Linked DNA regions of Ovis aries. The protein of the gene in region 1 interacts with the protein of each later gene in a pairwise test. Links are inferred from orthologs where the notes say so. Each region holds a gene or a part of one and is shown in the gene's direction. Other genes may lie near its edges.

The links.
Region 2: the proteins of CYTH1 (region 1) and CYTIP interact in binary tests that used the Homo sapiens proteins (3 or more experiments, as listed by UniProt). The link is inferred for Ovis aries from reciprocal best matches to the Homo sapiens genes CYTH1 and CYTIP.

What each region holds. Positions count from the first base shown.
Region 1 is NC_056064.1:52,960,358-52,964,665, forward strand, and holds part of CYTH1 (cytohesin-1), read left to right. Parts: intron 1-380; coding exon 381-445; intron 446-2,581; coding exon 2,582-2,648; intron 2,649-2,922; coding exon 2,923-3,041; intron 3,042-3,331; coding exon 3,332-3,412; intron 3,413-4,308. UniProt on the Homo sapiens protein: Promotes guanine-nucleotide exchange on ARF1, ARF5 and ARF6. Promotes the activation of ARF factors through replacement of GDP with GTP.
Region 2 is NC_056055.1:152,296,954-152,301,918, forward strand, and holds the start of CYTIP (cytohesin-interacting protein), read left to right. Parts: upstream 1-1,601; 5' UTR 1,602-1,670; coding exon 1,671-1,847; exon of another isoform or gene 1,848-2,135; coding exon of another isoform or gene 2,136-2,138; intron 2,139-4,965. UniProt on the Homo sapiens protein: By its binding to cytohesin-1 (CYTH1), it modifies activation of ARFs by CYTH1 and its precise function may be to sequester CYTH1 in the cytoplasm.

The sequences.
Region 1 (4,308 bases):
GTTTGTCCTGGTTTGTCCCCGCTTCAGTGAGCTGCAGATGCACTGCGACAGACTGTCCAGGCAGCTGTTTTCCAGTAGAAAATACATATTTCACATAGTGTATATGATTATAAACTTCTTTCCTAGACTGTAAACTCCTTGAGGTCAGGATGTTATCTTTCTCTTCTTTGTATTCCCTAGAATGATTACAGTCTGATAGGAACTCAAGAAACATTTGTTGAACAGACGGATTTTCCAGAAATTTTTAGGTTTTGGGGGGCGTTGTCTTTATTTTGTTTGCTCTGTTTTACTTTTTGGTCAGAGCGAGTTACAGGAGATTTTGGTGATTTTGTTCTGATCTGTATCTTCCTCCTGGTGATTCTGGACTGTGTGTTTTGCAGAGGCTGAAGGATGAGATAGCAGAAGTAGCTAATGAAATTGAAAGCCTGGGGTCCACAGAAGAGAGGTGAGTCTGTCCTTTTCTGGGTGGTTTTGTGGTTGTGGCATTGCCAAGTGCCAGCCTAGAATTGTGCCCGTGCCACGTGCTTAAGGAGAAAGTGCATCTTCTGCCTTCTTTTCTAAGCAAGCATGTATGTAGCCATACTTTCTGCCTTCCACGCAGGGACTCCTGAATGTGAAGGCTTTTGATGTTTTTGGAAAGGCTGAACTGGAGAACTTGGCAGGTTCCCCCAAAATCTTAAACTGCCTTTAAATTGTTGTGTGAACTATTTCTTCTCTTCTCTTATCCACTGGGTTCCTATTTTAGTGTTTCCATTTTTTGCTTTGGGTAAAGGAAAAGCTTAACGGATGCTGCTGATGCAGCTCCAGAAGGCTGGAGGCCCAGTTGTGTCTAGGCATCACTGCAAGCTTGCTTGTGCCTCCCTAACACTTAAGAGAACGTAGAAGTGAGATTATAGCACAAAGTGCCAAGGCGTGTCTGCTGGTTCTTTTTTTCCTTTAACATTCCTTAAAGCAATGTTAGTTGCTTTGAGAGTTTAATTTTGAATGAGGTTCCCAGACCATTTTCTAACTGCTTAATGTCGTAAATGGGCTGTTTCTAATTCACTGCATGTCTGTATTTTTCTAAGCCTAAGTCTCCCCGTCTAGCTTCAGGAGACCGTTGGATTTTGTTATTTTAAACTTGTGTGCACAGGGCCATGTGGATTAGTGAAGCTGCATGTCCAGCAGAAACCAGCCAGCTCATCCTGTCCAGTCTCTGCTTTGCCAGTTCTGAATTAACAGCTTTCTTACTTGCCACTAAAAAAAAAAAAAATTGCTGCTTCAAAGAAATGGACAAATTGGTATTTGTCAGAATTTACCATTTCTGCTCTTACAAAAGGTACTCTTAAAAGAAGTGAATAGGGACTTCCCTGGTGGTCCAGGGGCTGAGACTCTGCACTCCCAATGCAGTGGGCCTGGGTTTGATCCCTGGTCAGGGAACTAGAGACCCGGGTTCGATCCCTGGGTGGGGAAGATCCTCTGGAGAAGGAAATGGAAACCCACTCCAGTACTCATGCCTGGAAAATTCCATGGATGGAGGAGCCTGGTAGGCTACAGTCCATGGGGTCAGAAAGAGTCGGACATGACTGAGCGACTTCGCCTCACCTCACCTCAGGGAACTAGGTCCCATGTGCCGCAACTGAAGATCCTGTGTGCTGCAACCAAGACTCAGCGCAGCCAAATAAATGTTTCAAAAAGGAAATGAATAGGCAGGCTTCACACAAGGGGAAAAGACCTGCATTACCTGTATTTGAAAAAAGACTTGTATCTGGAATCTGTATAGAAAGAGCACATAAAACTCACTAATAAAAAGACAACTTGACTAAAAAGCAGGCAAAAAACCGCCATGAACGCTTTTACATGTATAATAGACACGTGAAAAATGCTCAATATCATGAGTCATGAGGAGATGCCACTTTACACCCACTAGGATGGCCAGAGTTAAATAGACAGGTGGTGCCTCATGTTGCTGAGAGCTGGTGAGAACAAGCGGTGTAAACACTGGGGAAAACCGACTGGCAGTTCCTCCTAACGTTGACCGTATACCCCTGCTGTGCCCAGCAGTTCAGCTCCCAGGTATTTACTCAGGAGAAAGGAGAACACACCCACACGCATGAGGGCATCTATAGTGTTTTTATTTAAAATAGCCCCAAACTGGAATTAGCATTAATGTCCCCCAACAGATGAATGGATGAACAGATGAATTCATGAGCTATTAACTTACATAGTTAATATGTAACTATGACAGTGCTCTAAAGCTGGATTATGGCGATGGTTGCCCAACTCAGCAGACTTATTAAACATTGTTCAGATGTGCATTCAAAATGGGTATGTTATATGGTATGTAAATTATACCTCAATAAAATTTCAAAAATGACATGGAAAAAAAAAGAAACCCACTGTAGTAGAAGAAACAAAGGAGCCTAGGACCAGGGTCAGGATTTCAGTTGACCTTCCACAGTTAGACCCAAGTGTGCCTGAGCTTTCCTAGATAAATCTCAGACATCACTGCACTCCACTGACACATGTGGGAGTTATGTCAGTCTTTCAGAAATTCCCGATTACCCAGAGTACTGAAGTGGCTGTGATGGTTGTTTTACAGGAAGAACATGCAGAGGAACAAACAGGTAGCCATGGGCAGGAAAAAATTCAACATGGATCCTAAAAAAGTAAGTGACAAAAGCCAGCAGCCAGAGCCTGCAGTCTGTAAAGTGGCAGTTTCCACATCGTCAGCTGCAGCTTGGGGCATTTGAGACAGCCTCCCTTCCTTTCATGGAGTACAGCTCACGCCATGAGCCCTGCCTCCTGCAGAGCATAGGAAGTACTTACTGGGCACTTCCTCTGTGTGCAGAGCAGCTGTACCCAATTCTTCCTGGGCCCCCACCCCCTTTCTGGATGTTCCTGGTGTCTGAAGCACTATTGGTGTCTTCGCTGTCTTTCCAGGGGATCCAGTTCTTAATAGAGAATGATCTGCTGAAGAACACCTGTGAAGACATTGCCCAGTTCTTGTATAAAGGGGAAGGGCTCAACAAAACAGCCATTGGTGACTACCTGGGGGAGAGGTAAGACCTCCGGAGACCCCTGCAGTAGAGAAGGTTGGGCGGCAGTTACCTAGAGAAACAAACTCCAAGATGCCCCGAGCTTTGTCCCGGGACAGGTGGAGGTGTCCAGCAGCTGGTATCCTGTGTTCAGCCAGTACACAGAGGCTGCAGATCTTTCATCTAACATTTGGCTGCCTCCTGGGCTGCGGGGGGTCTCAGTGCTCAGCCTAGGGGCAGCCTGACTGGGGGTCTGCACGACTTTGGATTCTCAGCCTCATTGTCTGACTTCTGTCTTCTGTTTCTCTTGCTAGAGATGAGTTTAACATCCAAGTTCTTCATGCATTTGTGGAGCTGCATGAGTTCACCGATCTCAACCTCGTCCAGGCCCTACGGTGAGTATGTTTGCAGCCAGTACCTTGTTGAGGGAGACGGGTCTTTGGTTGTAGATCTGTCCTGCACAGTTCAGTTCAGTTCAGTCCAGTTGCTTGATTGTGTCCAACTCTTTGCAACCCCATGGGTCCTGCACCACCTGGTGTTTTAGTGAAGTTGTACCTTGGGTGGTGATTTGAGTATATGTGATTGAAATGATTGGATGGTTCAGTTCAGTTCAGTCTCTCAGTCATGTCTGATGCTTTGTGACCCCATGAACCGCAGCATGCCAGGCCTCCCTGTTCATCACCAACTCCCAGAGTTTACCCAAACTCATGTCCATTGAGTTGGTGATACCATCCAACCATCTCATCCTCTGTCATCCCCTTCTCCTCCTGTCTTCAATCTTTCCCAGCATCAGGGTCTTTTCAAATGAGTCAGCTCTTTGCATCAGGTGGCCAAAGTATTGGAGTTTCAGCTTCAACATCAGTCCTTCCAATGAACATCCAGGACTGATCTCCTTAAGATGGACTGGTTGGATCTCCTTGCCATCCAAGGGACTCTCAAGAGTCTTCTCCAACACCACACTTCAAAAGAATCAATTCTTCGGCGCTCAGCTTTCTTTATAGTCCAACTCTCACATCCATACATGACCACTGGAAAAACCATAGCCTTGACTAGACAGACCTTTGTTGACAAAATAATGTCTCTGCTTTTTAATATGCTGCCTAGGTTGGTCATAACTTTCCTTCCAAGGAGTAAGCATCTTTTAATTTCATGGCTACAATCACCATCTGCTTTTGGAGCCCCAAAAAATAAAGTCAGCCACTGTTTCCACTGTTTCCTCATCTATTTGCCATGAAGTGATGGGACCGGATGCCATGATCTTAGTTTTCTGAATGTTGAGCTTTAAGCCAAC
Region 2 (4,965 bases), on another chromosome or scaffold:
AGTAATAGTGTTAATTTACTTCATGTACCTTATAGTAACCTGGAGATACTTTAAAACTCAATCTCTCTCTCATCTCTCTCTCTGTCTCACACACACACACCCCATAAATGTCTTTTTAATTGACCATATTCATTAGTTGCCAAAGTCTCTACCACTCCCTTTTGTATTACACATTTATATTATTTTATCCAACTGAACCTTGAAGGCATATGTGTTTGTCATCCCTGATTTAGATCTTTATAGGGCTTCCCTGGTGTCTCAGATGGTAAAGAATTGCCTGCAGTGTGGGAGACTTGGGTTCGATTCCTGGATTAGGAAGATCCCTTGGAGAATGGAAGGGCTACCCACTCGAGTATTCTGACCTGGGAAATCTCCATGGACAGAAGAGCCTGGCGGGCTACAGTCCATGGGAAGCAAAGAGTTGGACACAACTGAATGACTTTCATTCATTCATTCAGGTCTTTGGGGACATCAGTTTGTTCATGTCGTTATCTAGTTCCAATCATCATGAGTCATGCTGTGATAGCATTTTAAAAATTTCTGAGGTGACTCCATCTCTTAAGCACCATTAACTCTGAAGATTTTACGATTTACATTTGGCAGATTTTGCCTGAGCTGAATTTGCTTTGACTTCCATTTTAAAGACTTTTGACTCTTTAACATTCTACTATTGAACTTCCCAATGATTTTGAAAATGACAATTCTCTTTTTATACTATACCAAACTTCTCCTTTTGATTTTATTTTGAATCTTTCTCCTATTTATGTCTCCTGCTCCTCCTCTGAAACTAATTTCCTTAAAACTGCGTTTCTCCAACTTCCACCAATAAAAGCGTCAGTGAAAGTGAGTAATTCATGTTGTTGCCCTTGGTGCATATGCGTTGGCAGGAACCAACTGGAAATGTTCTTGTGCCTGTTTATTTTGCCTATTACTTTTATGCCCTCTCCATTCCTCCCTTGGACCACTTGATGATGTCGTAACTAAGTCTAGTCTAAGACATGGCCAACTTTGTGCTCTAAATGTGATTCCCCTCCCATTGCTCTTTGTAGACATGATGGATAATTTTAGTGAGGATGAACCAGTGGAAGTTCAACCAGAGGAATGCTGAATGGTCACAGCCCAAGTGGCAGATATAAGTTTTTTTTCATGAACATCAATCAGCTAAGATGTACTTTGGTGAAAGTACATTACAAGGACTTCATGAGAGGACATTATGACTGGACCCTGTAGGTCTTGCTTATACTCATGAGGAATCAATATCCACACATCCTGACCTTTACACTACACTGGACCATATTAAGTAGGAGAGTGGATGTCAAACTAATGGCAGAATTTGGGGAACTTTTTCTTTTTCTTTTACAAAAAAAGGTAGATGGTGTTTTGAACACAACTTGCCATAGCACATGAAAGAGTTCTGGCTGTTTGAAGAGAAAGAAAAATATTTTAATGCTGAAAACTAGCCTTCTCTCAGGGGCTTAAAGAAAAAAGTACCGAGAATGGGAGTGAACTGCAAGATAGTGTTTGTGTAACAAGTACCTCAAACCACAGAAGTCACATGGGCTCTTTCTGCTTTGCTACTTTTGATTGCTTGTCAGAGGGTTATACTTTTAGCTTTCCCCACCCTGCAAGGCCACTCAACCATGTGCTAGCTGGAGTAATCTTTACTCACAATGTCTTTACAAAAGCTCAGGAAACAGAGCAGCAATGGCAATTTCATGGAGTACTGTGCTGGTCCAGGGCATAGCTCTTACTCCACGCTCACAGGCAGTTTTACTATGGATGATGACAAGAGAAGGCTTCAAATGCTGGCAGATACTGTGGCTACTTTGCCTCGGGGAAGAAAGCAGGTATGAGTGCTATTTTTTACCTTTTACAGTATTCTTGTTCTCTTGAGAGAAGAGTGATATGTTTGTTTGACTGCATGTTAAAAATGTTATTTCAGATCCTTTGAAATTAGTGGCTCAGAGTATGGGTGAAGAGAGAGGCAAGGGGCCCAGAGAACTCAGACTCCAGTCATTAAGTCTTAAGATTTAAGACCATAAGGAAACATTTGAAAGGAAAAACTTGAAAGATTATTTTCTCACTACAAGAGGTATTCTGATGAATTAAAAATCATTAAGCATATCAACTTGAAGATGGTATGTATTATAGACACAATCAGTTTGAGAATTATTGTTCTTTTTTCCTGTATGTCTCCCATTGAGTCCTTCCCTCCCAGCCTCTCTCCCAGTCTCTAATAGTCATGTCAATTCATAATCCAGGGAAAATACATGATTTTTTAGTGCAAGTTTTATTGACAAAATTATCTTTAGTTCTGGGCACTGGATGTACCTCACGCTATTGGGAATTAAGACTTTTATTGGATAAATGAGTGCAAGATCTGCCACTTGGTAGCTGTGGAATCTTGAGTAATTTTCTTCTCTAAGATTCAGTTTGCTTTTTTTCTGAAATGAAGATAGTAATAGAACCATCCTGCAGGGCTCTTCTGCGGTGTAAGTGAAGAAAAGCACAGTGTTTAACAGAATGACTGACATGTAGTATGTGCCAAATAACTCAGTAATTATGTTATTATTTTAATTGTGATTGCAAAGTATTTCCCTAGAGAGGAAAACTCATTTGGGAAAATCCATGTCCAACTGGATTTATTGCGAGTTTTTTTCAATTTCCAACTTGTAAAAAAGGATCAAACTAGAAAATCTCTTTAGATTTTGGTTAGCTAGCTTGCTATAATGCTCCACGTACACATCTGAATACAAAAATATTTAGAATTGTTTTAAAGCATGAAGTTTTGCCCTTAAATCTTGCATGCACGTTGTATGTTCTTCTTAAGCCTTCTAATTTCAGGATTACAGAGTTATAGCATAGTGGAAGAGTCATGATCTTTTTTAAGTGATGCACATAGCTGATTCTTTGGTATTTTTCAAGAGAGATAAGGGAATAATTTGTTCTGGTTTGGATGATTGATCTTTTTCAATTCCAAAGTGCCTTTATGACAATAAGTTTAATAAAAAAAAAACATTCCTATCAAGTTACTGTCTGAAAATAAAGCCCCTTTGGGAAGTACCAAAACCTTTATTCACTTTTCAGGTGTATAGCAGTGTAGAGTGTATAAAGATGAGAAGGAAAATTTCCCGCCTTACAGGGTTTACGATTGAGTAGACAGAACAAGTAGGTGTTGTACAATATAAAGTAACATACGTGCTCTAACCCAAGTACATGTCTTTGAATACAACCTTCAAGGATAGATATACTGGATATTGAAGGGTATTCCAGAGCAAAGGATAATTAAAATGCTGAGGTACAGATCTTGGGGCCCTTAGGGAAGTTTAAGTAATCGTATATTACTGTGTTAGGTGGACCCAATGAGTGTCTGTATGGGAGAGGAGGGGAGACCTCAGAGCTGGGCTGTTTTTCATAAGACTTGGACACTTCCCCTGAGGAAGTAGTAATCTGACCAGTACGCAGGGAACTGATCATGACTGAATACAAGGTTTCAGGAACCTTACTCTGGAAACTTGCTTGTCAGTAAATGGGTAGAGCCTAGTGGTGAGGGAGCAATTTTTGCAGTAGTTGGAGAAAGAGGAACCGAAGGAATTGAGAAGAGACACAAAGACTTTGCTGTGAAAAGCGGTGAAGAAGAGGGAGCCACATTTGATTTTAAGCCTGAGTGAAGAAAGCGTGAACTAAAAAGAAGCAATCAGGGAGGCTATGGGAGAAGATGAGAATGATTTAGGTATATGAGACACAGGTGTGTGTGTGTGTGTGTGTGTGTGTGTGTGTGTGTGATCTGTGTATCTATGTACACATACACACACACTTTCTCACCAATTATTTTCCTTATATGTTCACATCTTTTGTAGGTCCTTTCTTCTCCCTTTCCTCATATTCTTTCCCATGGTGAGACTCCTCCTATTTAGACAGTTTTTTGTTACTGTTGTGAAATTTACTTAAAGAAAATAAAAAGTAAAACAAAACATTTGTATATGATATATTTGATTCTGTACAATTATCATCAATGAGACTTGATGCAAGTTTATTCCAACTGTTTAGAATTTTCCAAATGGATGTTCATTTCCTTTAACTGGTCTTTAGAGAATAACTATTCATTTGGCACTGACTGAATTGCAGGCAACGAGATCCCTGTGAAGCAATCCCACAAGCAGGTGTTTTCTGCCCACTGTTATTTTCAACCCTTTCAGTGCTGACATCAACAATTCATACTTCTTGTTATCACTGGCTTTGGTTTCTGCCAAGCTGTATCTGGTTAGCCCATAGTTTCAGATTAATCTTCAGAATCACTGGGGTGTTTGTACTCAACATTATTTAAAAATAGATTTCTCTGTGTTCATATTATCTTGATACCTGTATTTGTAGGAGGTGACATACACCCAGTGAGGTCTCCCACTTTTGAACACAGTTTTAGGAAAAAAAATCCCTGCAATGGAAAATGCTGTAGGAAGGAGATGGTATGAAGTAAGGTTATCTTGATGAATGTTGTGATACTAAAAGAGTAGCCATGGGCCTTACACCCATTTTCCCAAGGGCAGTAGGTCACCCTTGGAAAGTAGTTTTCACTGAATGCTATAGTGAAAAACTGACAGAGGGGAAGACTGAATATGCATTCGTGGGACCACAAACTGTTTCTCTTTGTTTGGTTTTCTTTGGTTATCAAATTATTCCTAAATAGACAACTTCTGGAAGGGTGATTTCAGTTATAAGTCCGATATAGAATATTGTGCTGACTTAGTATGTATTTCTGAGTTGGGTTCTGCCCTTCAGGAGCTTTTATTTTATTTCTGGCCACACACTCATCTGTCACTAAAATTCCTAAGTGTTCTTGATGACAACAAGATATTCTGACATTTAATGAATACTTTTAGTAGAAAACTGTTAACTTCATTACAAAAGAATTTGATAAGTATTCTCTAATCCATATTGTGGTGCTCTTAGAGAATATATCCAAAA